2 linked regions of the Pelodiscus sinensis genome follow. The main gene of each other region encodes a partner of the protein of the gene in region 2 in a complex. Links are inferred from orthologs where the notes say so. Each region holds a gene or a part of one and is shown on either strand. Other genes may lie near its edges. The genes, in order: GYPC and MPP1.

The links.
Region 1: the proteins of MPP1 (region 2) and GYPC are in contact, whole or in part, in an NMR structure (PDB 2EJY), measured with the Homo sapiens proteins. The link is inferred for Pelodiscus sinensis from reciprocal best matches to the Homo sapiens genes MPP1 and GYPC. Residues at the interface, in NP_002427.1 of Homo sapiens: Pro81, Met82, Gly83, Ile84, Leu86, Lys87, Leu88, Leu100, Val130, Gln134; in NP_002092.1 of Homo sapiens: Arg123, Lys124, Glu125, Tyr126, Ile128.

The regions. Positions count from the first base shown.
Region 1 is NC_134717.1:4,077,143-4,092,343, forward strand, and holds the start of GYPC (glycophorin-C), read right to left. Parts: upstream 5,362-15,201; 5' UTR 4,891-5,361; coding exon 4,857-4,890; intron 1-4,856. UniProt on the Homo sapiens protein: This protein is a minor sialoglycoprotein in human erythrocyte membranes. The blood group Gerbich antigens and receptors for Plasmodium falciparum merozoites are most likely located within the extracellular domain.
Region 2 is NC_134723.1:779,362-794,243, reverse strand, and holds the start of MPP1 (55 kDa erythrocyte membrane protein), read left to right. Parts: upstream 1-7,721; 5' UTR 7,722-7,874; coding exon 7,875-7,976; intron 7,977-14,882. Other genes in the region: SMIM9 (small integral membrane protein 9), read left to right, coding at 1,996-2,125, 3,048-3,063. UniProt on the Homo sapiens protein: Essential regulator of neutrophil polarity. Regulates neutrophil polarization by regulating AKT1 phosphorylation through a mechanism that is independent of PIK3CG activity.

The sequences.
Region 1 (15,201 bases), on a different chromosome or scaffold from region 2:
AAAGAGGTAAAATGGAGAAATCTGGAGTAGTGTTCTGTTTTGCCAATGCTTAAGTTTTGAAAGCGAGAAAACAATGTGATTGGAAACCAAATTGGCAATAGCCCTTTTTTTGGTTAAAACACAGAGAATGGTAAGAGTTTATAGGAATGAGGAAAATACTCTTGATGGAATTCCCATTTTTGAAAAAAAAATGCTAAAATTAGCTTAATAAAAATAACACTGTTGTTTGTAAAATATAACCATTTCAACAAGGCATGTACATTATCCTTGATTTTTAAAAAAAATAATTGAGTTAAGGAGCCAAGCAATGCCTGGTAAATCTGCTAGGGCTGTATACGAAGAGAGAGGGAGTAAAAATCCCTTCTCATCAGGGCCGGCTCTAGGCACCAGCAAATCAGGCAGGTGCTTGGGGAGGCAAACCTACACTTTGCCAGGGGCAGCATTTCAGGTAAGCAACCGGTGCTGCCCCTGGCAACACCTAGCCCCGCCCCACCGATTTAAAGGGCCGCAGCCCGTGGCCAGATGCCACCTCTGTCTTCTCTCCTGCTTTTCCCCTCCCCCGCAACACCTAGCCCCGCCCTGCCCTGCCCACCAATTTAAAGGGCCACGGGAGATGGCACCATGTGCGAGCCTGCTGGCCGCCCCTGTTTCCTATTCCTGAGTCCTGAGTCCTTCTCCTCCCTGGTGGCCGCTACCTCCGAGAGCCTCTCCACTCCAAGCCATCAGCCATCCCTCTGCCTACATCATATGGAAATACCAGGTAAGATGCCCCCTTTCTGCCTAGGCTTGCCAGGTGTCCGGTATTTTCACCTCCTGTCCTGTAAAAAAAAATCAGAAAATACCGGACACCTGGCAAACCTACAAACACGCAGCCTGCTGGCCCTGACCCTGGCCTCTCCCCTCAGGCCCCGACACCCTCAGACCCAGGGACCTTTTGAAGTCTGTTCCTAGTATATTTCTCTTGTTCATGTTTGTAGTAGAAGTAGAACCAAACAAGAATCCAGCACACACACACACACACACACACACACACACACACACACACACACACACACACACACACAGAATATTAACTGTTCTACACTCTTCAAAGAATCACACATGCTGTTTCATAGATATTTTTTTAAAGAATTAAACTTTGTTGATCCGGGTAAACTTTTGTGTTTGATGTCTCCAAGGCAAGCTTCATTCCATATATAGTTGTATTGAGCACATACTACTCTCTACTCCCTCTAACACCTCATAAACTTGAATATATAATGGCTACTAGCAAGATGGACACACAAAAATAATGTGCATATGCACACCCACTGATCTCAGTTTATCTGATAACATAGATGTGTTGGAGCCACGTAAGGAGCCACTGAATTCCAAAACAAATCTAGTTTAACAATACAAATATTTATTGATTTAGTTTAGATGTCTTATGTGCTATAGTTATCATAATTGGTTGACAAGTATGTTAGCTGATTATAATTGGTTTGAAGATTGATTAAATATAGCCATAAACTACTTGGGTGCATCTAGACTGGCAAGATTTTGCGCAAAAGCAGATGCTTTTGCGCAAAAACTTGCCAGCTGTCTACACTGACCGCTTGAATTTGCGCAAGAGCACTGACGTTCTAATGTAAGAATTCAGTGCTTCTTGTACAAATACTTTGATGCTCCTGCTCAGGGATAAGCCCTCTTGTGGAAGAATACTTGTGCAAGACGGCCAGTGTAGACAGGCACCTTAATTTTTCGCGCAAGAAAGCCTAATGGCTAAAATGGCCATCGGAGCTTTCTTGCGCTAAAGCGCGTCTATACTGGGCACGGATGCTTTTGTGCAAAAGCACTTTTGGGCAAAAACATCTGTGCCAATCTAGACACTGTTTCGTGGAAATATTTTTAACGGGAAAACTTTTCCGTTAAAAGTATTTCCGCAAAATCATGCCACTCTACGCGCACCCCTTGAGTTTTAGATGTGGCACAAGTTTTCGCTTCTATTTTTTGGTACTTAGTTTATATTTCCTTAACCATTTGTGTGAATAGTTTTTCATGCATTCAAAGCACAATTCAAAAGTAGCCTATTTCTATAAGAACAATAAAGGAGAGATTGAAGGTACATTTCCCACTCTTGAAAAAGAGCTTTGTGTGAGCTGGAAATCTTGACTCTGTCACCAAAACAAAAGAAAAAAATTGCAATGTGGAAACGTGTAAAAGCCAACAAAAAGGGGTGGGGGAGGGGGCAGCCAAATTTTTTTTGCTTGGGCCAGCAAAAAACCTAGAGCCGGCCTTGCTTCTCTTTCATTAATAAATGCAAGAGAATAACTAGAGCATCCTAGCAATTAGGTTATCCAACACCATTCACTCAACATCACAAAACAGCTGTCATCTGGCCTGTCCAGCAAGTATCAAAAAATTAGTATAAGATATTTAACTTAGTCTGATGTATTGGGGATGCTTTGTGGATCTTTGCACTAGCTTCAGTACTTCTCATGTTGCTTACCAAGCAACACAACTTTGTTTTTGCTAGACACAGTCCCTCTCTGTTAAACATCTGTTGTCTGTTCTGTATTGTACCTCTGAACACACTGAACTTTAACTTCGCCTTGATTAGAAACGGACTGGTGCCAAAGCTACTGGCTTTGTGCCAGGAAAACAAAACAGGCCTACATGGAAATAGTGCACTGAACTTGCATATGGAGTCACCAGAAGGCTTCCCCTTTAATTGAATTTGGTGCTTGTTTTGTGTTTTAAACAATGTGGATCACATTTACTGTGATGCAAACTGAAACAGGATACCAGCACTTCCTGTCTGCATCTGCAGGAAAAGCAGCATTCGGAGAGTTGGAAAGCAGACAGTAACATTATTTCAGTTCAACACTTGGTTAAGGGGTGCACCTTTTACATGGAACCATCTGGAGTTATCAGTTGTAAAAAATGGTTTGCAAAGTCTGATATGCTCAGAAACTGAAAATGCCCTCTGAGGTGATATAGACAATGAGATGATTTGATGTACGGTTTTCTCCTTGTGCACGGTTGTGAGATGAGGACACAGTGAATTCATACATACATAAGTCAAATGCGAGGCCCAATTTTTTGAGTTGGCTTGTGCTTTTTTTAAACTTGTGGCATTCCACTGATTTCAGCAGAGTTATTCCAGCTAGGGGGGAGGGATAGCTCAGTGGTTTGAGCATTAGCCTGCTAAATCGAGGGTTGTGAGTTCAATCCTTGTGGAGGCAATTTGGGGCAAAAATTCATCAGGGATGGTCTTTGGTCCTGCTGTGAAGGCAGGGGACTGGACTCAATGACCTGTCAAGGTCCCTTCCAGTTCTAGAAGATAGTAAATCTCCATTAATTTAATTTAATCTACACCACCACGAGTGAGCTCGGACCAGAATCCAGGCCCAGGAGACTGTCTGAACTCCTTAGTAAAGGATGTAAATTGGGCTTCTGCGTAGCCCACAACACCGCACAATCAATAATGTGCATTTCAGCTAATAATTGTAACCCCTCTCCACATCCCACAAGGCATGTGGGAGCAATGGTTGCAGTAATTTACATGTCTGAAAAGAAATCAACAGATAATCCAGACACAGTACTTTCTTCCAAAGTATCCCTCTTTGCCTGAATATCTATTTTCCTTCACTAGCAGTAAATAAGGTTAAATCTTGTCAAAATTACAGGAACCAAAAAAAAAAATGATGGAGATAAATTTTCAGCTTTTAATTTGTCATCTACTTGCAAAAAGACCAGGGGAAAATAAAAATCCTTGCCTAAAATTCCAGTGGTTCTTTTCAATATAACAAACCTGCTCGCTCTTTTGATCTCATTCAAATCTTAGAAGACAATGTCAATTTCAAATTTCAGATTGTCTAGCGCCCATCCAACAGGTTTCAGTGGGGATCATCGGTTCAGTTTTGGTGGGTTCATTAAAAATACTATGCGGGGTTACCAAACTGGCTACATTTGAAATAAAATAAAAAATCTGTTTCAAAGCCCTCCTCTGAACTGTGAGTCTGAGTTTGCTGTCAGTTACACCACTGTAAGCAAACAACTTTCCATGCATCTGATGAAGTGGGTCTTTGCCCACGAAAGCTTATGCTCCAATGAATCTGATAGTCTATAAGGTGCCACAGGACTTCTCGTAGTTCTTGCAAATTTCCATTGATATCACTGGAATTATTCTGGATTTGCTCCAGATCAGAAACCGGCCCTCAATTTTTTTTAATGTTACCCCAAATATTTTACTATGTGCTGATTAAATGGCCATTTGAATTCCCTGGGCCAATTCTCTCATTCACCACTGAAGACAACAGACTTATGCCAGCATTGAATTTCCCTCTCCCCCCCCCCCCAATAGCCTTACTTGAGAGAACTAATTCAGTTGCCCTGAGATTGTGTTTCTAAGGTTCCCAAAGCAAAAAAAAAAGCATTGTAACTTTAAATATAGACTGACAGTTTTTGGCTTGCATCTCATATTACACACAGACGGCTTGGTGTCTCTAACTGCAAGCTAGGCGGTACCATTAATATCTCAGAAGAGAGACACTAAATCTTCCGAATGCTTATACTTTCATTCCTGAAGGGAAAAGCAGTTAGTTTATATTTTCTCCCAACGAGCACTTAGAATGAAATGTAACAAATTTCTGAATGTTACATGCAGGAATTAAACTTTGCAGATGTCTGTTTCGTGTCTCTCTGCTACCTCCAGACACACACCAAAGCAGACTGTTTCACCCCTAACCCTTTCCTTTAAGGAAATCCTCAGAATTGGTTTGTGAACGTCAACTGTGTTTAGAAGTCACCTGGTTAAACAATGGACGGGTACGTTCACGGTTCCTGCAAGGAGGAGAGGAAAGGAGGGTACTCACGTGATGGAGTTACTACAGAGTTTAGGGAACTCATAATGTACGCCTTCAGAAATGTTTTCTTTGCCTTGACAGCTTTTCTCCTCTGTTCAGAATCGCAGGCTGGAGAGGCAGGGAAGAGAGACGGCTGGAGAGGCAGGGAAGAGAGACCAAGGACCCAGGAGAATGCAGCACTTGTTCAGACACTCCTTGCTGAGTTCCTGACCCCTTTACAACTGGAAAAGGAAACAGCCCATGTGTCATTCTCTGCTGCCTTTCCAGCTCACATGAGCAGGGAGGGGCCCCCACTTTCAGATAGCTGTTTTCAAGTTTGACGTATCCCTGCCCTCTGCCTTCCAGGAACTTCGAAGCTTCAGCAACACGTAGAAAGAAAAGGCTTTTTAAAGGGCTTGGTTTCAATCCTGTCCAGCCTGGTATCCCGAGACGGGGACCAGCCCCGTGGATGAGGCATCCAAATTCCATTCTGGCTCAGAAACGTCTATGCCCAGAGATTCTCTAACTGTACCTCTCATTTAACTGGTATAAATCAGGAATAAATCCACTGAAGTCTGAGTAGTTTCACTGGTGTTAATAAGAGGAAGGAGGAAGTCAGGGATCAAGACACTTGGCTTGGTTTTCAGGAGAGTGGGGTTTAATTCCTGCTTCAAGCACATATTTCCTGCACGACCTAAGACAAGTATCTGAGTCTGTGTACGCCTCAGTTGCCTGTTGATAAAAGGGGGATGAAAATACTTCTCATCTCCTTATACTTTTTCTTTCTTGCCTATTTAGATTATTAACTCTTTAGGCCATCTCAGAGGGGAAACCCTTTTTTAAAACAATGAGCAGTTCTGTGGCACCATAGAGACGAAGGGTATGTCGACACTAGCCCCCTAGTTCAAACTAGGAAGGCTAATGTAGGCATTTGAAGTTGCAAATGAAGCCTGGGATTTAAATATCCCGGGCTTTACTTGCATCTTCCCGTCCGGGCGCTATTTTTAAATCCCCTTAGTCCGAACTAACTGCCCGTGGCTACACATGGCAGGCAAATGTTAACGTGAACTAAGTCTTTAGTTCGAGTTAACTGTTACACTTCATGGAATGAGGTGTAACAGTTAACTCGAACTAAGGACTTAGTTCGAGTTAATATTTGACTGCCATATGTAGCCGTGGGCAGTTAGTTCGGACTAAGGGGATTTAAAAATGGCGCCCAGATGGGAAGATGTAAGTAAAGCCCGGGGTATTTAAATCCCGGGCTTCATTTGCAACTTCCAATGCCTACATTAGCCTCCCTAGTTCGAACTAGGGGGCTAGTGTTGACATACCCAAACAGATTTATTAGGTCATGAGCTTCTGTGGGTAAAACCCACTTCATCAGATGAGCTGGAGTAGAAATTACAGAATCCAGGGTATGTAGAACAGCAAAAGAAGTTACCTGTCTATTGTAGGACTGGTGTTAATGAGGCTAAATAAGGGTGGATGTCTTATTTGCAGCATTTGCTGTAGAGATGTGAATATCCAACAAATTCAACACTATCAACGTAAGCTTCAATAACGAGCTTACCTGGTTAACACATTACAATGAGTAGTCCTTTGGCACCTTAGAGACTAACAAAAAAAATGGTATCATGAGCTTTCATGGGTGAAGCCCACTTTATCACATGGTAGGCTGGAAAGGAATAACAGAGAGTACACTGCATTGGAAAGGCAATTTTCCCTCTTTTGATATTCGCATCTCCACAATAAAAGCTGCGAATGAGACACATTCACACTGCCTTAATTAGCCTCATTAACACTGGTCCTACAACTGAGAGGTAACTTCTTTTGCTGTTATATATACCCTGGAGATTGTAATTTCTTACTCCAATTCATCTTATGAAATAGGTCATGAGCTGCCATTGGTAAAACCCAACGAATCTGTTACTCTAACTGGACTCCTCGTTGATCCTTCGGGCCGTGTTTTTTTACCGTGTCTGTACAGCATGTAGCATAGCATCTGATCTCAGTTAAGGCCTCTAGGTATCCGCAAAATACAGGGAATTTATTTATTTATTTGCTTGCTCACTCGCTCACTCGCTTGTACGTTCGTTTATTCGTTTATTCATTCATCTTGTTATGTATTTGTTTCTTTGCTTGTTTGTTTTATTAGTTCATTAGAATCAGAGTCAAGTGGCTTCATTAAGATCTGATCAATCCTCAGTTCTCAATGGACTGTGTAGGCCAGGATAAATTCATAGCATTCCTTCCTTGTCTACCACACAGTAACTGTCTGACTCAAAGTGGGGAGGGGAGGAGCAGAGAAAAGCGGGGACTGAAATGCTCCCTGTTATGCAAGGGTGTGTCAACGTCTTTCTGTTAAGTCACCTAAGGGACCGGCTGCTGCCTACATGGCTGTGTAGTTGGCTCCCGATACTTATTCAACAACGGTAGGATGGAAGGAGTGGCAACGTACATGCCGACTCCAAACAACTTAGCCTTGTTTGCAGGCACCGATACGGTAAATAACTCATAGCGCCGAGTTCAACAGAATCTCACGGTATGTAGAGAGCCCTCGGATACTCACTGGCATGCAGAGCACAGCAAAGCAAGGGCCACAGGGACAAAAAAGCCTGCTATGAATCCACTGGCTTCCTCAGATCAGTTTGTACCAGATTAAGATCTGACTCGCAGTGGACGGACACTGGCAATGAATGGCAGATAGTGACTAGAACTCTATTTACCGCTGTCTTCGGCTTTCCCATTCTGCCCCAAAAACCCGCTGCTCGCACAGCGCATTGTGGATCTACGCAAAGGGGAGGAAGGAGGCTGAGGTGGTGCCAAGCCCTTAGGGTGTGTCTACAGTCCTTAGGGTGTCTCTGCATAGCACCATAGTGTGGATGCAGCCTACGTCAATGAAAGGGGTTATTTTGCCAGTGAAGTTAACCTGCATCCATCTGTGTCTACACAGGGTAGCGAATCGACCTGCTCACATCACACAGGGTGCGAAAGGTTTCACATCCAGGAGCAATTTAATTTTTTAACCATAGATCCGGCCTTAGCCACAAATCCTGTCTCCATTCCCATCTGGACTAATTTCTCTGGATGCTCGGGAACTCTGTGGTGAGGATGGAATCTGATTTGCCAAAACAGCTGAGCTAGAATTGCATGCTCCCGGAGCGGAACTGGTTCAACATCTGCTTTGCTTTTTGGAGGGAGGGGGCAGCAGTTACCCCAACTCTGTGCGTTGTTTGGGGGAGAAAAGAGAATCTAGCCCTACAGGACAGGTGGTGGGGAGTCCCAGAGAGCAAGAAGGTGAGTGTCAGTGGCTTTTTCAGCACACCAGGGAACAGCCCCAAAGGGTCTTCTGTGACCTCACCCCTGTCTAATTATAGGGGCTTACCATTAATCGTGTTTATTACAGGAGTGCCCCAGGACCAAAGAAGAGCAGGGTCCCATTGTGCCAGGCGCTGTACAAATAGAGGAGTGGACAGTTCCTGTCCTGAAGGGATGATATGGCCCCCATTACTGTAGTACCACACAGTGTTCTTCACCATCTTTGCTCTACTTCACTTCCTAACACTGCTGTGAGGTAAGGGAACTTCTATTATCCCCATGAAGAACTGAGGCAAGACTGAGTCCTAGACTGTCAAAGTAACTCGTCTCTGAGCTTCCTCTGAAATCCACGGGAGTGAGGTACCCTCAGAGGAGTTGACCATAAGTGATTTGCCCAAGGAGGTCCACCGTACGTCTGTAGCAGAGTAATTAATGCAGTCTAGATCATCGAAGATCGCCCTAAACGCGGGGGTGTGTCTAGACTACACCTCTCTGTCGACAGAGAGATGTTGATTAGGCATGTCAAAATTGCTAACGAAGCCAGGATTTAAATATCCCATGACTCATTAGCATAAACATGGCCCCCGCTTTTTTTCTAAATGGTGTTTTTTCAAAAAAAAAACCCAGCCGTGTAGACGTGGATCTATCGAAAATAAAGCCTTTTTCGACAGATCCTGTAAACCTCGTTTTTTGAGGACTACAGGATTTGTCAAAAAAGGCTTTATTTTTGACAGATGTGCATCTAGACTGCCAGGTTTTTTTTTTTGAAAAAACTCCATTTAGAAAAAAAGCAATGGCCATGTTTATGCTGATGAGGCATGGGATATTTGAATCCTGGCTTCATTAGCAACATTGACGTGCCTAATCAACTTCTCTCTGTTGACAGTGGCGTAGTCTAGACGTACCCTGGAGCATCCTTCCTTTCTAGTGGATTTTTTTTAGCCCCACTTCCTGCTTTGCCACTGGGCTGGGAGCCCCTGCAAGACCGTGACTCAATCTGCAGAGTGTGGGGCCCACTTTGCAAGGCCCTGCCCTTCGGCAGAAAGTCAGCGATTCTGCGTCATGGTGGACCTTTTGTGTCCGCCAGCAGGGGAAGGGTCTATGAGCTTTAAAGGGGAGAGAGGCCTCTTTTCCAAGGAGCCTGGGAGAGGAATATTGAACGGAGAAAGGTTCAGTGTTCTCTCCCTTTGACCCCTGAGTCAACTGCCCTGAGGGAATAGAGGCAGAAAGGAAATAAGGAGCATGGAGGGAAGTGAGGAGAATCAAACACTATCGTTGGCCATGAATGTCTCCTTTGTCTGAACCCTCCTCTTGCGCTTACATCCAGCGGCTGCTGTGGCCAGGGAAAGTCGTATGGAGAAGGACCACTAAACCGCAGGTGAAAGCGTTATTTTGTCAAACATTGTATGTCTCCAGAGGCATCCGCTCTCTGTGGTAGCACAGGCAGGTTGAGCAGCCTGTGTGGCAGCCTTTCATGGGCTGATACCTGAGCCTTCTTGGCCCACAGAGTCTCCCAAAGAGGGAAGGCAATTTTTAACTGAATTTTTTTTTTGCCGTGATGGAGACATTTGTTCATTTGCCCATCTCCAAAGCTTTGAGAGCCTTCCTGAGAATGTCCTGTTTGCCTGTGTCTTACAAAGGATGACAGAGCACTCTGCAAATTAGGTGCCATTTTATTATAGAGGGGTCACACTGGTGTGGGAGTGGTCACACACACACACGCAGCCTATATCTTTGACCGCCTCACCTGCCCACTGCCCACTAATCTACCTGTGCCGGAACTACTTCTACTTCTAGTCCATACCACTGAAGCTGGTTCATTTGGCCTCCATTTTCTTAAATGCAATCCCCTTGATACCACTGGGAAAGAGAGACCTCAACCATTCCCATTTGGCTGATGGGGAAGTGATTTACTCAGAGTGACACAGGAAATCGGTGGCTGACCTGCGAGGTGAACATCAGTTAAGTGTCCTGTCCTTATTTCTAGATATCTTCAGTATTTATATTGCTGTCTTATCAGAGTGTTGAAGTACCTCATAATCTTTAATGCATTTATCCTCCCCATGTGCTTGGGAAGCAGGGCTGTATGATTGTCCCCATTGTGCAGATGGGGAATGGAGGTACAAGGAGATTAAGTGACTCACCCGCGTTCCCATAGGAATTCTGTGGCGAAGAATTGCAGTTCAATCCAGATTCCACTGGACTATGAATCTCTCTTCTTCTCAGGGCCCTGAGGAGGCCAGGGAAAGCACAGCACCAGTTGAGGCTGCTCAAATATACGCCAGTGGCTACACACAGGGCAACAGCTCAAAGCCACTGTTGCTTCCTCCACTAGCTCCTCCTCCTTGTCCCAAATGCAGCAAAAGTCTAAACTGAGAATCGGTGTGTCACATACTACCTGGCCCTTTTAGAAGTTTGGGGCTTACCTGTTACTTAGCAGTTATCTACGAGCTGACCGAGTGGTTGGTTTAATTCCATGATCGAGCTTTGCTATTATGGGGAATAGAAGTGGCCGGATCTACTTGTGCTGGCGGAGTGATCTCTGAGCCAACATCTGTTTCCTGACACATTGGATTGTTTCCATGTTCGCTGCCTCCCTGCCATGAAACTTGGGACATGACACTGCTAACACATGACTTATGGGATGTACTGCAGAAATGGTCAATCAACCTCATCTGTGACCTTTATGTGTCTCATTATTGGGTCTAATTACCTTCATTTAAAAGCTGCACACACATACAATGAAGCCTGTTGTTTCTAGAAGCAAAGATCTGCACATCATCATTAGAAAAGCTCACAAATACTGTCTCTGTGTTTTCTGGAGCCCAATTTGTCATGGGTGGCTATAATAACTGTGAGCTGCTTTTCTCACCACTGTGTATTCGTCTGCTGAAAGTCAGAACTCTTGAGTTAGAGCCAATCAGATACAGCTAAACTATGCCCTGGCTGCAGTAAAAATATGATCAGCATGCAATTTATTATTAGAACAGGTCCAGGCTAAATCTTCACTCACACCACCGCAGACACACACCTCCAATTTTTAAAACTTATTTGACTCCTGAACAAGGAAAATAAGAGGCAACCGATTAACCCGTTTTTAAAACATGATATAGTTTTAGCGGGACCCATTGGAACCAGTGTTCAAGGACTACAACATCCATAACGCTAAGTTATACACCAAGGATCCTGCCTCCCTTTGTCCCCCAGAATGGCCTGAGAATTTTGGCATTTTGATCAGTATGTTCTGAATGTTGTCTCTAAGCTCAGTGGAAATGTTGCCACTTGAGCAAACCAGGGTAAGTCAATAAGGGGAAATTTCCAAAGCACAAAAGTCACTAGATGTTGGCGTTACACCTAGACTCAGATCATCAATTCCTAACTCCCACGGAATTACGTAAGAACTAAGCACAAAGTCTAGGCTCCAGCTTTCGCTGAAAGTTGCTGGCCTCTGACTCCCATTTTTGTCTTTCATAATCCCGCCATCTCGAGGCTCCTGTCGTGCGATCGCTTGAGCTCAGGCGAGGCTTTATGAAGGGAAGCCCATCCCATGACTGAGTTAAGCGTCTGTGTGTCTGCAGGGCTGAATCGGATTTTGCTCTTCCTGACGTTAAGCAACTGATCGGCTCAGAAGTTTAACTATAAAAGGAAGAAAAAAACTCCATGTAAAAAACCGTGGTGGTTTAAAAAATAATACAGCTGTAAGTAGCAAGGAAAACGTCACTCGGGCATCAGGGCTACCACAGCGCTATTTATAATAAATCTAATAATAGGAATTGTGCTAAGACACAGGGCCAGGAGGTCGCTACAGATATTCACTCAGCGCTTTGTTTTTATCCACTGTAACTAAGTCCTTGTTTTAGCACAGAGAGGCCGTGTTTTCGGACGACGGGTTGTGACAGTCGCATTTGCACTGAAAGTCTCTCTGCTTTGGCGATGAATACGGAGCAATGAAAAGCAGACAGGTACCAAGACAATTGCCTGTGACTTTAAACAGAAAGGCTGTGTCTACACTGGCCACTTATTCCGGAAAATCAGCTGCTTTTCCGGAATAACGTGCCAGCTGTCTACACTGGCCCCTTGAATTTCCGGAAAAGCACTGATGAATAATGTAAAATCATCAGTGCTTTTCCGGAAAAACTATGCTGCTCCCGTTCGGGCAAAAGTCCTTTTCCAGAAAACTGTTCCAGAAAAGGACCAGTGTAGACAGCAGAGATTTCTTTTCTGCAAAAAAGCCCCGATCGTGAAAATGGCGATCGGGGCTTTTTTGAGGAAAAACACGTCTAGATTGGCCACGGACGCTTTTCCGCAAAAAGTGCTTTTCCGGAAAAGCATCCGGCCAATGTAGATGTGCTTTTACCGAAAATGCTTATAACGGAAAACTTTTCCGTTATAAGCATTTCTGGAAAATCATACCAGTGTAGACGTAGCCAAGGAGTATCTTAGGGCGCAGTTAATCTAATGCTTGCAGAAGTGATCGGAATCTTTGCAAGCCCTGCTTTGATAGAAAGCAGACCAATCAATGCCCTGTCCCTTCCGGCATCTGCATGGAGGGCATAGAATCCTAGAGCACTAGAACCGGAAGGGACCTCGAGAGGTTATGGAGTCCGGTCCCCTGCCCTCACGGCAGGACCAAGCACTGACTCCACTGGAGGCTGGCTGTGGTAGGTATCAGAGGGGTAGCCGTGTTAGTCTGAATCTGCAAAAGCGACGAGGAGTCCTGTGGCACCTTATAGACTAACTGAAGTGTAGGAGCATAAGCTTTCGTGGGCAAAGACCCACTTCGTCAGATGCATCTGACGAAGTGGGTCTTTGCCCACGAAAGCTTATGCTCCTACACTTCAGTTAGTCTATAAGGTGCCACAGGACTCCTCGTCGCTTTGGCTGTGGTAGGCGCATGAGAGAGCGGAATGGAGGAAGGAATCTTTTCTCCAATGCATGGGTGTAGAAAAAGATATAATTTGGTGCCTTTTTTTCCAGGACATTGGGTATCTTGCACTGGTGAGTTTAGAGGCGGATGGAGGCGTTGTCACTACCAAGATGGTATTATATTTTAAGTGGTGCCTTCTTCCGGCTTCCGGAGGCATCATTTAGCTCTTACGTAATAAACCATATCAGCATGTGCAGGCTTCCGATACTCCCAGGAGATACATGAGTGAGGTAAGCGTTCCACCGTCAGCCACCTCGGACTTCCTTCCAGTGCTCGGGAATATGCACTCGCTTGCCATTATCCTGTTGATCCTTAAACTCCGCGGAGAGATGTCGTCTCTCAGATTTCTCCTGGACACCAATTGGGGGCGGCATACGAAGTTTGGAATGTGCCCCTTCCACACCTACATTCATCCAACTTGCATGCCTGTTTATAACTTCCAAAGCCTAGCAGTCCAGGCAGGTCACAGGTAAGACCAGTCCCCTTCCTGGTGGACGAAAGAATCCAAATAAAGATAAAGAGTTCATCCAGGCAAAGGGTCCTTTGGCCCCTCTCTGGACTCTGGATGGGATTAGTCTAGAGAAGTTCTGCAGCGTGTGTTATGCAGGAAGTTAGACTACATCAGGGTGGGCAAGAGGCAGCCATGCCAAGCCACCGGATCTGACCCGTGGCCGCCGCCTGGGATCCGGAGGCACAAAGCACCTCACTCTGTGCTCTGGATGCTCGGAAGGGAGGAGAGAGGCTTCAAGAGCTGTCCCGTCCCCCCGCAAAATCTCTCAGCTCTCATAGGCCAGCTTCCAGCCAATAGGTGCTCAGAAATTTTGCTGGGGGCAGGGACAGCCTGTAAAGCCTCCCTCTCTATTTCTTCTCCTCCCCCATGCCCAGAGCAGTCACATGGTACAGCCAGCCCACGAGCTTGGGACTGCAGCAGGGAGCCTGCCTCAGTTTCCTGCAGGGCTGTTGACTGGGAGTCACCTAGGTAAGCACCTCCCAGCCACAGCCTGCCTCTGGCACCCTGCCCCCTCTCTTCCCTCCAACTACCTGCCCCAGGACACCACCTAAACCCTCTGAACCCCTTTCCCCCCTTCTCCCAGGTCAGAACTCCCTCCCCGACCTTGCACCCTCTTCCACACCTTCCACAGGCCAAAATCCTCTCCTGCATTCATACCTCCTCCCTGACCCTGCACCCCAAGACTCTGCTCGAGGTCACAGCCCACTCTTTCATCCAAACACCCTCTCAGACCTTACACCCCCTCCTGCATACCAGTCCCCTACCCCAAGATCCCTTCTGCACCCAAGCTCTGTCCCAGACCATGCACCCCCTCCATAGAAATGTGTCCCTTGACCACTTGCCAAAATCTTGGAGTGGCCTCCCATTACAAATTATTGCCCACCCCTGGACTAGCTGAACTTTCCTTCCAGCCTTTGAGAATCCATGAAATTATAAGATCCTTCCAGGAACCTCTCTCTTTTTTATAGGCTCTATCCTGCCTCATGTGGTTCTCCCCAACTTGCCTGACAGCCTGCCTACCTTCAGGAAGTCCTTCCGGGAGAGAGGGAATTACTTCAGCTCTTTTGTCCGTGGCTGGGTTCTCCTTTCTGCAGTCCACCCTGACCCTGGACACTAAGGTTTCCTTCACTATAAGTATGCACCTGGATCAGCATGGAACCTGGATTGGTGCATTTAGAAACAGCTTTGTTGCTTGTCTGAAAACCCTGGTGTGGACCGTAGAGGGGATGTTTGTGGGACAACACTTATCAACAGAACACTGAGGGCCAGGACGGACAGAGATGGTGTCCCTAGCCTCTGTTTGTCAGAAGCTGGGAATGAGCGACAGGAAAGGACTCACTTAATGAGTCCCTGTTCTGTTTACTCCCTCTGGAACATCTGGCATTGACCACTGTTGGAAGACAGGATACTAGGCTAGATGGACTGAGGTCTGATCCCATATGGTTGTTCTTGTGAGAGCCAGAACTGATGGCTATAACAAAATTATGGAACCACAGGAAAGCTGGCCTCACCCATGATAAGAGGAGATCTGGCTAACTCAAATCATGCCGGACCACAGAGGTTGCTGGACCAGAGTGTGCCGGACTAGAGAGGTTCACCCTGTACATAGCTTGCTTACT
Region 2 (14,882 bases):
GCCCGACCCCCCGCAGAGAATGGCGCCGCGGCGGCCATTGGCCACGCTCCGAGCTGCAGGCTCATTGCTCCCCGGACGGGCAGGATCCCAGCTGAGCTGCCCCCAGTTCTCAGTGTGCCCATGAGAGCAGCTGGCCCTCCCCAGCTTGGCCCCAAGAGGACCCCGCCAGGGGGACGAGAGAGGCGCTCCGGCACCACGTCCCGTCAGCGCTGGGTCACTGTGCCAAAGCCCCTGGCACCAGGGCAGGCGAGTGGCCGTGGGCGGTGGCTGCGGAACTGCCCCAGCCAGTTCCCGGTGCTAGAAGGGGCAGTGGGGTTCTGCACGTTTACCCGGCCACCCAGTGCCCTCCACTCCCACTGGAAGCAGGGCTCAGAGTTCAGGGTTGGCGCTTTGATTGCTCCCGGAGAAGGAAAAGCAATCTGCCTCCAGGGCACTGACTCTCACTTATCTGCGCCTCGGGCTGCTCCTTGCAAGGGCAAAGGGCAGGCAGAGATGAGGCGCCTGCAGAGATAAGGGCACTCTAGCACCAGGGGCCGTGGAGGAGGGTCCACAGCAGCAGGAGGAAGAGAAACTGGATCAGACTCTTCATGTTTCAGCATAAGTGCCAGATATTGGACCTTTTCTAAATCTACTTTTATGAAAAATCTCAACTGCTTGGGTCAGCACCAGCCCCTCCAAGTCGCTGTTCAAAACTCCTCGGAGAAAACCCCAACATGTAACCAGCAGTATTAGGGTCTGTCTACATGGGAATACTCAGGAAAGTGAATCTGAATTAACTAAAGGTGTAGATAAGTGAAACTCATCCAGCTGCTGTGTTGACACTCTCGTTCAGGATTCAAGAGCCCGTCAGTCCATTTCGCTTCACTCACACAATTCAATCCCACCGCAGCAAGGCCATGTCCATGCTGAACGACAGGCTCTTAATGACGTTTAACTCACCGACTTCAGACGTTAATTTGAATCAACTTTCCTGGGTGTCCCCAGGCAGACGAGTCTCCGGGGCGGTTCCAGGCTTTCTGAAGGCCCGTCAGGCTGTTTCAGCTTCCCCCAGACCTGCCTCTCAGGTCCAAACCCTAGCGAGACGGGACCCCCCGGCTCCTCTTCTCTCGCCAGCCTTGGCGCTTCCCCTCGGCAACGGGGGCCGGGGTAACCAGCCCCACTCCGGCAGAGTTTGCCTGGCCCCTTCTGTGCTCCCTTGGTTGTGCTGTGGCTGTCAGCCTAGGACGTGATCCTCCAAACAGTCTCAGACAAAAACCCAGAGGTGCCTTTTGCTGCCCCTCCTACTGGGGCACGGTGTCTACCTGGGAGTCTCACCCGTCCCCTCACAGGCGCTCGGGTTTGGCTGTCTCCCCTGCGGGCAGGCACCTGGCCTCCTGCCCTGGAGTGGCAGCTCCGCTGTCAGGCTCCCCAGAAGGGGATGTTTCAAGGCCTCCGCCAGCCCTAATTGGATTCAGACATCCCAACGTGACCTGAGGTAACCCCTTCTCAGCTTAGAGGCGCATGCTCCGGTTAATCCCTGGCCTTCCAGGAGCCTCTTGCAGGCGTCACTGCGCTCAGCCCGGGGTCCCGGTTCATGTGACGCCGGCCCAGCAGCCTGCCAAGAGCAGACACATGCATCAGCATGCCAGGAGGACGTGTCCGCAGGCTCTGCTGTACAGAACCGTCGGGCATGGGCAGGCAAACGGCTGGCAGGCCTCGGGCGGGCACTACCAGCTGGTCTGCACTGAGACTGGTGACCAAGGGATGCAAGGTGCCCTGGGCCTACCCCGAAGTCCCTGAGGCGCAGTCAGGCGCCGTCTTCCCTTGCTCTGGGGCTCGGGAGAGACCAGGTGGGTGAGGAGCCGGCTGGGCCCTGGGGAGGCAGCAGCGACTCACCCCCGGGTGCTCTACGGGCTCTGAGGCAGACAGCAACGGCCCCTACCTTCCCCGGGACACCCTGCAGCCGGTTCGGTTCCACCGCGCCCCTTTCGCTGACGAGAACGTGCCCCTCTGCAGGAGTCCGCAGGTCCTGGCTGGCAGACTACACGGATGACCTCTGGATCCATGTCCGGGAGTCCTTCCCCCGGGTAGCTCTGTACGCCTTCCCCCTGGCCTTGGGGTTCATGCTCCTCCTCTGCTGCATCACGTAAGTGTGCGCCTGCTTCGGAGCACAGGCCGCTGCCCCGCTGCGTCCCCAGCCCAGAGCCCTGCGTGGCCGCTTCCTTCCTTTGCCAAGGCTGAAGGCCTGGCTCCGAAGGCGGCGCGGCCGCAGCGCAGCGGAGAAGTAAGGGCAGCAAGACTGAATCACGGCGGCTGCGGCTGGGGCTGCCTGCCTGGGGAGGGGCATAAACAACTCCCGACACCCCAAAGGGGAGCCAAGCCAGCACCGCTGAGAACCACTGCCCAGAGCTCATCCCCAAGGGCAGGAGACAGCTTTCAGGGGCCAGTCTGAGACTGGAATGAACCCCAGGGACCGCGGCCGAAGTTCAGCTCCTTGGCCTGCCTCGCTAACGGAAATGCATCGCTCTCCTCCCCCGCCGTAGCAAGACACCCCGGGGAGAGGCTGGGAATAAACCGCAGGGGCCAGGGGCCAGGCACGCAGCTGGATGTGCCACACTAGGCGCTCGGGAAGGAGGGTGAGGTAACTACTCAGAGCATCCATGGCTGATGCGGCCCCGCCCCCGCTCCCTCTCTTCGGAGCCTGTGTCCCGGGAGACGCTTTGACGGGGGTGGGTGGGAACAATTCGTTTCCTTTCTTTGAAAAAGCGTTTGCAGGAGCCCGAGCACTGTGCCCTGCTGTGGGGGAAGCCCTGAGCAGCCTCCTTCCATTGCGGGTGTGTGGCCGGAGGCTGCTCCCCGGGGCCTGGCGCCACCTCTGAGAGGTGTGTGGTTCCAGTAACCCTGGGCAGGCCTTCGCTTCCGGGTCCCACAGCCAGAAGCAGGGTCCCCTCGGGCAGGAGAAGGGTGTAGCCACAGCACGTCGCCCCTTCATCACCGTCATTCCGCCTCCCAGCCCCTTCCCCGGTCAGTCCTTCGCTGAGCGACCTGCCGCTCCTCTGCTCTCCCAGGGTTCTTTTGGACTGAGGAGACCAGACGCGCTTCCGCAGACGTGCCCATGTCCTCTCCGGCCTGCGAGGAGACGCCAGCCGGGCCCAGATGCTCACGGCCCAGCCGGAGGAAGCCTCCCCAGGAAGTTCGAGGGCTGCATGTTCCACAGACAGATCCCTCTGTGCTGTCACTACCACTGCAGGGCTTTATTTGAATGAAGAACTTTCTCCCAACAGCCACATTGAATTCCGTATTTCCAAATAACTCCTAGGGCTTGTCTACCTGGTGTGGCAGACCAAAGGCAGCGGGTGAGGAGTTCGGTCCTAGTGGGGGCCAGGAGGTGGGCGGGCGGGTGTGCAGGAGGAGTTTGGTGGCGGGCAGGCACACGGGTAGTTGGGTGTGTAGGTTCATGTTCCCTCAATAGGCTGCCAGAGACAGCTTCTCAGCCAGGAGGTCAGACAGGCACCTGGGACTCCTTCAGAGACTAGGGTTGCCAGATGGTTTAACCAAAATACCAAACCCCCTCCCCCCCCAAAAAAAAACAGTTGAGGAAAAAAAGGGGGAGAGACCAAAGTTGTTGAGAAAAAAAAAGGCTCCAACAGTTACTAAGCAAAAAAATAAACAAATCAAACCCTCACAAAAAAAGCCAGCATAGCCCCTTTAAGGCTTTTGGGGTTTTTCTTACTCTGTGCAGGAAGAGAGCTCCCCTGTGGAACCAGGTAAGTAGGGAGCAGAAGGGACTTGGGGGGGCTGGGAGGGGCCAGGGGGCTGGGCCCGGTTGCTGAGTGTCACAGGGTTGCCAGGTGTTTGGTATTTTCACCTCCTGGCAGGGGAAAAAAAATCAGAAGATGCTGGACATTTTAGGTGTCTGATTTTTGTACTGTCCCTATGCTGGCGTAGACCCGCCCTACGCTGACAGGAGGGGCTGTCGGTCAGAACGCCACCTCGCCACGCAAAGGCAGCTGAAATGTTCTAGCTGCATCTCCACTGGGACTGAGAACAGCCTGGCTCTGGCAGTCCAGGGGGTGGAGACCTGAGGTGTCATCAATGGAACGTGTAAGGCCAGGCCTGAAATAATGTTCAAGTGAATTAGTGAGATCACATTAAGCCCGTGTGGATGCTTTTCTTCAGAATTAAAGTGACCTGAACAGTTTAATTCTTAACTGACATCAAGTTTCATTAAGTCACTTCAGGGAATTAAACTAAACTGAATTCAGGTCATTCTCATTCTGAGTAAAAGCATCCACACGGGTTTAATGTGACTTGTGTTGCCCAGGGGTCTTTCAGTGCAAAGGTCTCAGTAACTTTGCTCCATGCAAGGATGCGTCAGGAAAGAAATCAGGGAAGTCGTGGGCGTCCGACTGATAGATGGCACGCGCAGGACAGCACGAGTGCTTCCACTTGCAGCTACGCTTTACTTAGCACGGGCACGTCTGCAGCAGGTAAGCAGAACACCCCACACTCAATTGCTGGAGTTGGCTGGTGCTCCATGCCACAGCGGCGGCTTTCCAATGGCAAAGCGTCCATCTGCTGGTGGGACAAGATGTGTCCAGAGGGAGAGGCCCAGAAGTGCCCCCCCCCCCCACACACACTTTTCTTCCCTGTTTTCATGAGCAGGCCAATAACAGGTCCTACTTCCGGGTTCTCTTCTGATCCTCCATCAGCAGATGTGTGTGGGCATGGTTTGCAGGCCCTGTCGGACACACCCCTGGGCACAGAGACAAGCTCCTCCCTTCTGACTGCATCTCAGCAATTTCCACGTCAGGAAGGGTGTAGGGTCAGGCTGCCCTTTCTGTGGCACCCAAACCCCCTCCCCTCCTGATCTGGTCATGCTGCAGCCTAGGCCCATGTGCAGCCTGTTAGCTTGGCTACTTGTCAGCTCATCTTCCTGTGGGACCCTTACCAGCCCATAGATCTGCAAAGCCTGCCCTGCCATGTCCCATTCCCTGATGGGCGCCTCTGGCTTCTCTCCAGCTCAACGTGGCTCTGCCCTGTAAGAAAGAGGGTTTCCTGCCACCCGTGGCTCACAGGCACTGCTCAGGAGCCCCACAAAAGAGCTTACAGAATCTTTGCTCCATTCGTTTACAAGGTGCCTTTGTAATGGGATAAGCCCTTCCCGGCTGCAGTTCTGAGTCGTGGTACGGGTCCCTCCCGAGCAGGCTGCGCTGTGACGTGAGGGACTTGTACCAGCCGGGGTCCCGGCCAACGCCAAGGTCTCCTTGCACTAGACACTGCGCAAACACCGTGAGCTCTCTGGGACATCTGCTGTCTCCTGCTATCTGAGCAGACAAAACAGGACGGGTGGGAGGGGAAGGATTTGCACAAGGTCAGTGGAGGGCTGAGAAGAGAAGCGAGGTCTCTGACTCTCCAGCCAACTCCTGTTCTCCTGGATCAAACGCCTCTCAGCACTGGCAAGGTGGCACCCCCGACGGGAGAGTCAGGAAAGCCCCTTGGCCCGCAGGGGGATGGGGCAAGCAGAGGTTTTCTGACCGGGCCTCTAGAGACGGGTGTGAATCAACCCCCCAGATCCGAACAGCTCGACTTCAGGGAAGCGGGGCTCAGCATGCGGACCTGGCTGGGCTGTGGGGCGGGCAGATCTCAAGTCCTGTCCACGCTGGGTCTCGTGTTGCAGTCTACGGCCCTGTAGCCGTGTGCCCACATGCCTGGCAGGGCGGAGCAGGGGCTTGTTTTGTTGGGCTGCCATGCGGGGACCATTGGGACTCTGTTCAGAGGCTGGCGGCTTTTTCATTTAGTGCTGGGCAAACATTTTCAGACTAAACTTTTTTCATCAAAAAAATGCAGGTTTGGGTCCATGGAAACATTTCACAAATTGGCAGCGAAGTTCCCAGCTGCTCTGGAGGGAACTCCCAAGAAGACTGAAGTGCCCATTCGGACACTTCCCCAGTCCGGACAAATGGCATTTCAACCTCTCCTCCATTTCAAAAAGCTTTTACATTCTCAAAAATGAAATGAAATGTTTAATTTGACCCCCAGGGATTGGGGGGGGGGACTGGGAGAGTGCGGGTGTGGGGGATGGGAGAGTGGTGATGGGGGGGACTGGGAGAGCACGGGAAGGCGGGGGGCGCACGGCTGGCTGGGGGCAGGGAAGAGGAAGGCGGGGGGGTGCGCGGCTGGCTGGGGGCGGGGAAGAGGAAGGCAGGGGGCGCGCGGCTGGCTGGGGGCGGGGAAGAGGAAGGCAGGGGGTGCGCGGCTGGCTGGGGGCGGGGAAGAGGAAGGCAGGGGGCGCGCGGCTGGCTGGGGGCGGGGAAGAGGAAGGCAGGGGGCGCGCGGCTGGCTGGGGGCGGGGAAGAGGAAGGCAGGGGGTGCGCGGCTGGCTGGGGGCGGGGAAGAGGAAGGCAGGGGGCGCGCGGCTGGCTGGGGGCGGGGAAGAGGAAGGCAGGGGGTGCGCGGCTGGCTGGGGGCGGGGAAGAGGAAGGCAGGGGGCGCGCGGCTGGCTGGGGGCGGGGAAGAGGAAGGCAGGGGGCGCGCGGCTGGCTGGGGGCGGGGAAGAGGAAGGCGGGGGGGCGCGCGGCTGGCTGGGGGCGGGGAAGAGGAAGGCGGGGGGGCGCGCGGCTGGCTGGGGGCGGGGAAGAGGAAGGCGGGGGGGCGCGCGGCTGGCTGGGGGGAGGGAAGAGGAAGGCAGGGGGGCGCACGGCTGGCTGGGGGCAGGGAAGAGGAAGGCGGGGGGGCGCACGGCTGGCTGGGGGCAGGGAAGAGGAAGGCGGGGGGGCGCACGGCTGGCTGGGGGCGGGGAAGAGGAAGGCGGGGGGGCGCGCGGCTGGCTGGGAAGTGGGGGGGCGCACGGCTGGGAGGGAAGCGGGGGGGGCGCACGGCTGGGGGAGAAGCGGGGGGGCGCACGGCTGGCTGGGGGCGGGGAAGAGGAAGGCGGGGGGGCGCACGGCTGGGGGAGAAGCGGGGGGGCGCACGGCTGGGAGGGAAGCGGGGGGGGGCGCACGGCTGGCTGGGGGCGGGGAAGAGGAAGGCGGGGGGGCGCGCGGCTGGCTGGGAAGTGGGGGGGCGCGCGGCTGGCTGGGGGCGGGGAAGAGGAAGGCGGGGGGGGCGCACGGCTGGGAGGGAAGCGGGGGGGGCGCACGGCTGGCTGGGGGCGGGGAAGAGGAAGGCGGGAGGGCGCACGGCTGGGGGAGAAGCGGGGGGGGCGCACGGCTGGGAGGGAAGCGGGGGGGGCGCACGGCTGGGGGAGAAGCGGGGGGGCGCACGGCTGGCTGGGGGCGGGGAAGAGGAAGGCGGGGGGGCGCACGGCTGGGGGAGAAGCGGGGGGGCGCACGGCTGGGAGGGAAGCGGGGGGGGCGCACGGCTGGCTGGGGGCGGGGAATTGGAAGGCGGGGGGGGCGCACGGCTGGGGGAGAAGCGGGGGGGGGCGCACGGCTGGCTGGGGGCGGGGAAGAGGAAGGCGGGGGGGGGCGCACGGCTGGGAGGGAAGAGGGGGGGGCGCACGGCTGGCTGGGGGCGGGGAATTGGAAGGCGGGGGGGGCGCACGGCTGGGGGAGAAGCGGGGGGGCGCACGGCTGGCTGGGGGCGGGGAAGAGGAAGGCGGGGGGGGCGCACGGCTGGGGGAGAAGCGGGGGGGGGGGGCGCACGGCTGGGGGAGAAGCGGGGCCTCCCCATCAGCCTCTCTCCGCCCTGCCGGGCTCTCCGGGCCCCGGGGGCGCGGCTCTCCGGCGGGGCGGGGCGGGGGAGTGACCGAGCCCGGCGCCTGCCCCTGCGCTGCCCGGCGCGTCCTTCTTGCGCGGTTCCGCAGCCCGCGCCGGACCGAGCCGCTGCAGCGCCCCCGGCCCGGGGACTGGAGCCGGCCAAGCCCCCGCCCGGCCGGCTGCAGCGAGCCCGACATGACGCTCAAGTCCAGCCGGGGCGCCAGCGTGGGCAGCATGCGGACCGCGCTCTCCGACCTGTACCTGGAGCACCTGCTGCAGAGCCGGCCCAAGGCCGAGGTGAGGGGCGCGGCAGCCGGACTCACGGGGCAGGGCGCTGGGTACAAGGCGACTGGTGCCGGGGGCTCGGGGCCCGCTCACCAGGCCGGGGGGGGGGTAGAAGTTGCCGTAAAGCGCCCCCCCCGCCCAATGCTGAAGCCCCTGCCCAGGGAAGGGGCAGTTGCAAAGCTTGTTTTGGACACAGACTGGGGGGCACCCCCCACAGCACCTTTGGGCCCCTCCCTGCTGGAGGGCGCATGCTGAGCTCGGCCTCCGGCTCAGGGCAGGCTGTGCCCCCCAGTGCTGGGAGAGGGGCCCAGCAGAGGAGCCCTGTGGCATGTGCCCTGAGCAGCACCCGCCAGAGAAGGGGGGGGAGCCAAGAGCAGCAGCAGAACACGAGGTGGGTGCCACGACCCACAGCCTCCTGCAAGCGGCTGCCCTGCCTGCTGCGTGCAGAGCTCGGCCCTTCCCCCAGGCTAAGGTCCCCGGGAGCTTCCTGCCTGCAAAGGTGGCCCCAGGGGGACGCTAACAGCTCCCTGTGGTGCTTCTGGTGCTCGTTAACGCCGCTGGTGCCTGCGGGCTGGGATGCTGGTGCTGCTGGGGGCTGGCTTTGCAATGCACCGAGGCCAACACTGTCAGTGCCTGGGTATTTATCACAGTGCCAGCCCAAGCAGCCCTCAGCGGTGGGCACCTGCCCTTAGATGTCTAGTTCTGAGTCGCTAGCTCCTGCCTTCCCTGGGTGGAACTGACGTGCCGAGCGGTTTGGGGTACAGGTGTGGCATGGCACCGGTCCCCCCCACGGCTGGCGAAGCAGGGCCAACTAGAGCCTGGCCCTGGGGCTCACAGTGGCTCTGCACCACTCCGTTTCTCCATCTGCACCAGGGGGGAAGGGTCCCACTCCTGGTGTGCTCTGAGATCCATGCTGGAAGGTGTTTACTGCAGCATCTCTCGGTTCTTGTTCTCGCCCCGCGCAGCCTTGCAGCCTTTTCTGAGAGCCACACACAAGGGTTGAGGCTGGCTATGGCAGCCACTGCTCTGCACAGCTCCAAAGAGATCAGCTGTTAGCGCTCCACTTTGCTTGGATCCCAGCCCCGGCAGAGCCCAGGGCCCGTCTCTCGTGTGAATCCGGAGCGACTCCCGTGAAGACAGCAGCATTAGAGTGGTGTGAAACTAGAGTGGGTGGCATCAGGGTTAGAGGCAGGGGTGCCGTGGCTGGGAGTGGGGGGGTGGTGCTCTGTGTTACTCCCATGTTACCTGCCTGGCTGATGTGGGGGCAGCGTTGATCAGTTCTGGAGAGGGACAGGTGCCATGGAGGGAGGTGGCATTCACTGGCCCTCGGTCTCGGAGTGCGGTTGGGGGGCAGCTGGCCCCGAATCTGTCGGGAATGGCCCTGTTCTGTTTCTTGCTGAGCGTTTCGTGGGCGGCTCTCCTCTCCTCTCCTCTCCTCTCCTCTCCTGGAGGACAGGCAGCGGGAGGGGCATGTCAAGCTGGCTTGGAAGAGGATTTGCCGTTTTGGGGTTGCCGAGCGGGAGGAGGGGGCTGCAGCTCCAGGCAAAGACGAGGCTCTTTCTTGTTTTTGCTGCAAAGTGCAGCTGGTCTGAACTGGAGCTGCCTGTCACATGAGCTGCTGTAGCTGCTGAGCAGCCTCCACACGCAGGTCCCCGCGCCAGGCTGGAGGAGACGTGGCAATGGGCTTCAGCCACGGGAACAGGCCACTGCGTGGCAGTGGGGTGGGGAAGGGAGCCTCTGCAGCGGCCGCATGCCCAGCGGTCAGTCGGGGAAGCCTGTGCACTCCATGGAGCCATGAGTCTATCCCGTGAGGCGCTCGCCTGTTTGGCCCAGCAGTACCTGGGGAGGGGGGTCACTCGCCAGCTGCACACTTGAGCAATGAGGCTTCTGGTTTTAAACTCACACAAGCAGGGAGGAAACTGGAGACCAGACTGAAACTTTATCCTTAACCCACCCTGTTGTGCAATAAGCCATCCCCTCCCCCCTGAGTGAGTCAGTGAGCTTTCCGCCAGAGCCCTGGAGTCTCTGGCTGGAGGGTGGGTTTGGTGTGTCACTCTTCACGGTTCCTGCCCCCGGCTCACTGCCCCAGATCCCACAGCCGGCTCCACCGGGGTGCCGTGGCCTCAGACTGCAGTGGCGCTGCGACTGGACCCGCTCGGAGTCTGCGCCCCCGGGTTTCCTCTTGGTGCCCTGCTCTGCATCCGCGGGTCTGTACCCTTAGGAGCCGCAGATGCCATATGGGGATGCAGGGAGCGAGGCATAAGCAGTGGGGCTGGTGGGGAGCTGGGGGGCACGGGGCTGCTCTGTTTTCCTAAAGGTCTCCTGGTGCGTCAAGGCATTTGGGACAGGCCTTGGCCCAGAGCCTGCAAGGAGCCAGCTGTTTCTGAGCCCAGGAGGGACGTTGAAATACGCGTATTCCTGTGAACCGGAATTCTGAAAATCCGTTGGAGCTGAGCAGGACGCTTTGCTTGAGGAAATCCAAGCTCCCAAGTGGCGTTTTGAACCCGGTTTGGGCCTTTCTGGGTAGGAGCAAATTGCAATGAAAAGCCATTTTGAAACGGGAGATGAAATGTTCTGCTCTCACAAATTCATAATGGGCAGGTTCAGCCTCCTTATGATGCTTTTTGTGTGGAACGTGCGCTGAATAGTCGCCGCGGGCTCCGTGCTGTGTCCCAGCCCTCCGGACGGGTGGCGAAGGAGGAGGGTCCCCGGCCCCTGGCCCTGCTGCTTAACCCTTTACTGTGCTGGGCACATGGGTGGGGTCTCCAGGGCTTCCCTGGCTCCTTGCTGCCTCCTTTTCTCTCTCCAGCTGTGGGTGGGCACTGCAGCCGGGTGCTCTTCCCTCCTCTCGGCCCATTGAGACACAGAGCCTCTCCCAGTCCGTCAAAGCCCCCTGGCTGCAGGTACCACATTGGAAGGGGCCTGTGCCCCCAAGGAGCCCTGGTGATCAGTAACCAGCTGGGGAGCTTGAGCTGTCTCTGTGCACAGCTAGCAGGCCCAGGGGAGAGTAGCTGGGTTGTGCTGTTGTGAATGGCTTGCTTACGGCTTGGGAGGGGGAAGACAGCCTGTGCCCTTAACTGGGCTAGTGAGGCTGGGCGGGTCCCCGGGCCCTCTTGGGGCTGGCACTGGGGCTCTGGCCTTGCCCTCCCTCCCGGGTGGTGGATGGATTCTGGGAGGAGCGGCTGTGATGGAGCCAGGCGGTCGCTCGCTGTTCCTTGGGTCGCTGTACCAGCCCGAGAGCCCCGGGGAGCTTGGCAGCCTGGGTTTCCCATGGGAGTCCTGGCTTCCAGCCAAAGCTGACCACGCGGAGGCAGGTGGCTCCATCCCCTTTCGGGCATGCAGGGGGCAGAGCGGCTCTTTGGACAAGGTGAATGATCGAAGTGCTGGGAAGTTCATGGTTGATAGCCTAGCGGTGGGGGCCTCCTTTGCTATGCTGGGGCTGCTTGTGCCTCTCCTCCCCCAGGACTCGTGTGCCCTGGGGGGGAGGGTGGCTGGGCCTTTCCAAGGAGTCTCCTCTCGCCAGCCCATTTTACAGATGGGGGCTGGATTCAGACACTCCAGAGCTTGATCATCTGACTGCTCTGCCTTGCTCCCAGTGGGGTGCTGGGCAGTGTTCCATGTGCAGAGGAAACTTTATTGTGTGTGCCAATGTGCACCACCAACAGGAACACACGTTAGCAGCGGCGCTCTTCTAATCAGCTGGATGGCATTGGAATCTCTTAGTGGCCGCCCGGGTGCCCAGCTGGCAGGGAACCCTGGTGCTGGGGCTGGGTTGGTACCTTGGGGGTGGAATGGATACAATTAGAGAACACTAGGGCTGGAAGGGCCCTCGAGAGGTCGAGTCCAGTCCCTGCCCTCATGGCAGGACCCTGCACCATTTACCATTCCTGACAGATGTTTATCTAACCTGCTCTTAAATATCCCCAGAGATGGGGATTCCACAACCTCCCCGGGCAATTGATTCCAGTGTTTCACCAGCCTGACTGGCAGGAAGTTTTTCCTGATGCCCAACCTCAACCTCCCTTGCTGCAGTTTAAGCCCCTTGCGTCTTGTCCTCCTTAGCTTCTGAGGACAGACCAATTTTTCTCCCTCTTTCTTGTGACACCCTTTTAGATGCCTGAAAACCGCTCTCCTGTCCCCTCTGTCTTCTCCTTTCCAAACTAAACGAGCCCAATTCCTTCAGCCTCCCCTCCTAGCTCCTGTTCTCTAGACCTTGAATCGTTCTCGTTGCTCTTCTCTGCACCCTCTCCAGTTTCTCCACATCTTTCCTGGAATGCGGGGCCCAGAACTGGACACAGTCCTCCAACTGAGACCTGCCCAGCGCAGAGCAGAGCGGAAGGACGACTCCTCGTGTCTTGCTCCTGTGAATGCCGCCCAGAATCACATTTGCTTTTTTTTGCAACAGCATCACACTGTGGCTGGTATTTAGCTTGTGGTCCTCTAGGACCCCTAGACCCCTTTCTGCAGGACCCCCCTACCCAGCCGCTGCCCATTCTGGATGTGCTGCACCCTCCATCCCTTGGCACGTGTGGCCCTCACAGGCCTGTCTGCAAAGCCCCACGAAGCCCGGGTGTGCAGAGCAGCAGCACTGTGCCCGAGAACTGAGCCTGGATCTTCAAAGCGGCACCAGGTGCCCTGGGCTCTGGCCTGAGCTGGGTCCCAGTGCACCAAGTGCGGCACCACCCCTTGCCATGGCTGCCCGGGTTCTGCTGGGCCAGCATTCGGGCTGTACTTTTGCTGCCACTGGCCCCTCGCAGGGCGCCCGGCCAGCACCCTCCGAGGCAGTGGAGAGCCCTGCATGAGCAGCCGGCTCTGCCAGACCCTCGTGGCCCCGGCTCTGAGGATCAACAGGCCACACAAGGCCCTGCTGTGGAGCTCTGGCTTTGCAGGAGGTTTGCTCTGACCAGGCTGTGGCACATCCCCTTAGCCAGGCCTGGCCCAGCCCCGCTGCCTGGCCCCTTTGTCCAAGCCAGCTCGGAATGGAGGCTTTTCGGTCTTGTTCTTGGGAAGCTCACGGTCGCCCGTTGCCTTGCTGCGGCCTGGAGATGCTGCTTGGCGGGATGGAAATGCTGCGTTTACCCACCCGCGTGGAAACGAAGCCAGCACGGGATCGGGTTCCTGACTGCACCAGCCCTTTCAAACTTCCCCTTTTCTGGCGTACGCGGAGCGCAGCCCTGGACCCGCTTTGCTGCTGTGGTCGCTGCTGCCGCCTGACTGCGTCCGGCCAGCCCCAACTGAGGTCCCTTTTCCAACCCTTTCTCCAGGAGCCAGGGCTAGCAGTGTACTTGGCTGCCACTGTCATGTAGTCCTGGGGCTCCGGTAGCTGGGGCCTCGCTGAGTCCTGCCAGACTCAGACAGCTGAGAGCTTTGCGTTGCCAGTCCCTGTAACCCTCCGCGCCTCGTGCTTTCCCCTCTGCTGCGGCGTCTGCTTGGGACCCGCCTTGATTGAACCCAGGTAGAACACCAAGGCCGGCGCCTGTTTAACCCCAAGGGGCTGGCCCTGGCTGTGTGTGGGGCTGTTAGCCCAGCTGCCCGCAGCAGAGCAGCTGGCTCTCCTGTCCCTCTTTCTTCTCCCCTGCGCTTTGCTTTTCCCAGAGTCGTTTCAGCAGGGCGGGTGGGGGGACGGAGGAGAGGTTGGGAGCAGGTGTGCGGAGCTCCTCCTCCATGAGCTGCCTCTGCCCCCGGCTGCCCACTCCTGCCTGGGCTCGTGCTGGTCCTGTCGTGCCGCCCCCAGGGGCGATGGTGCGAGTACAGTCTGCCTGCCTGCTCGTGCGAGACTCCCTCTAACTTCTAGGGCCGTCCTTTGGGGGAAGAGCCAGTCTTGCGTGAGCAGCGGCTGCTGCTGGGGAGTCCAGGCAGCCTCAGCAAACTGGCCCCGTGGCTAATTACCCTCGTCGTTAAAGATGTTCCCATATTTCCAGCCTGCTTTGCCTCACGTCCTGCCACTGGGCCCTGCTTGCGAGACGGGTGAGCCCATGTTCAAACGTCTGTGCCCGGGCCGGGATCCAGCCCTGTCACCTTCTCGTAAGCTAAATCGATTGAGCCCCTCGACTCGCTGTCTCCTCCTTTGCTTGTTCTCTGACCCTGGCAACCGCTCAGTCTCCTTGGCCCCAGATCCAGATGTGGGTGTCCCAGGGCCGAGGGCCGAGATAAAAGAGCCCCCCCCCTCCTGCTCAGGATTCCCCTGGGGATGCTTCCAGGCTGGCATCTGCCCTTCTGGCCACCCTGTCACAGCAATAGTCCCCCTGGCCCCCCATCTCTGTCGCTGCTTCCTGGGAGAGTCCCTGCCCCATCCCAGGATTGCCTGCTTTGTGCAGCTGCAGCCGTTGGCACTGAGCCGTGTCCAGAGCCGCGTTGGTGGCTTGGGCTGACGGACTGCCTGGGCAAAAGGCTGTGTAGCGCGGCAGCCAGTGAGCGCCCCAGCTGCTAGGCTGCTGAGCAGCTACTGGGCAGGGCATGTCGCCCATTACGCAGCTGGAAGCAAAGGTCGGAGCGGGGGGAGGGGAGTCCTAGGCTGCCCCCAGCCGGATCCGCTGACGGGAATGTGCTGAGCCGGGTGCTGGAATCCTGCTGAGTCAGTCGCCCCGCGATAAAGGGGAAGCCCTGCTGACTCGGCTCCCTGGAGACACTTTGAACTCTGGCTGGGCGCAGGGAGCCTGCTGGAGACCGGGAGCCGCCTGCCTCAGAACAGCTCCCTTCCCTGCCCAGAGCTTCCCCACGGGTCCTCCTGCTCTCCCGCCCTGTCTGCTCCCTGGGCCCAGGCGCATCTCGGTGTGTTCTGTCTCCCCGGCCTGCGTTGCGGACCTGGCTCCTCATCCGCCTGGGGCTTGTCGCTCAGCCACGTGCTGCACCTGGCTGGGGTGGCAGCCGCATCTCTGGCCAGACGGATTTAACACGTCGGGCAGGAGCAACCTGCCC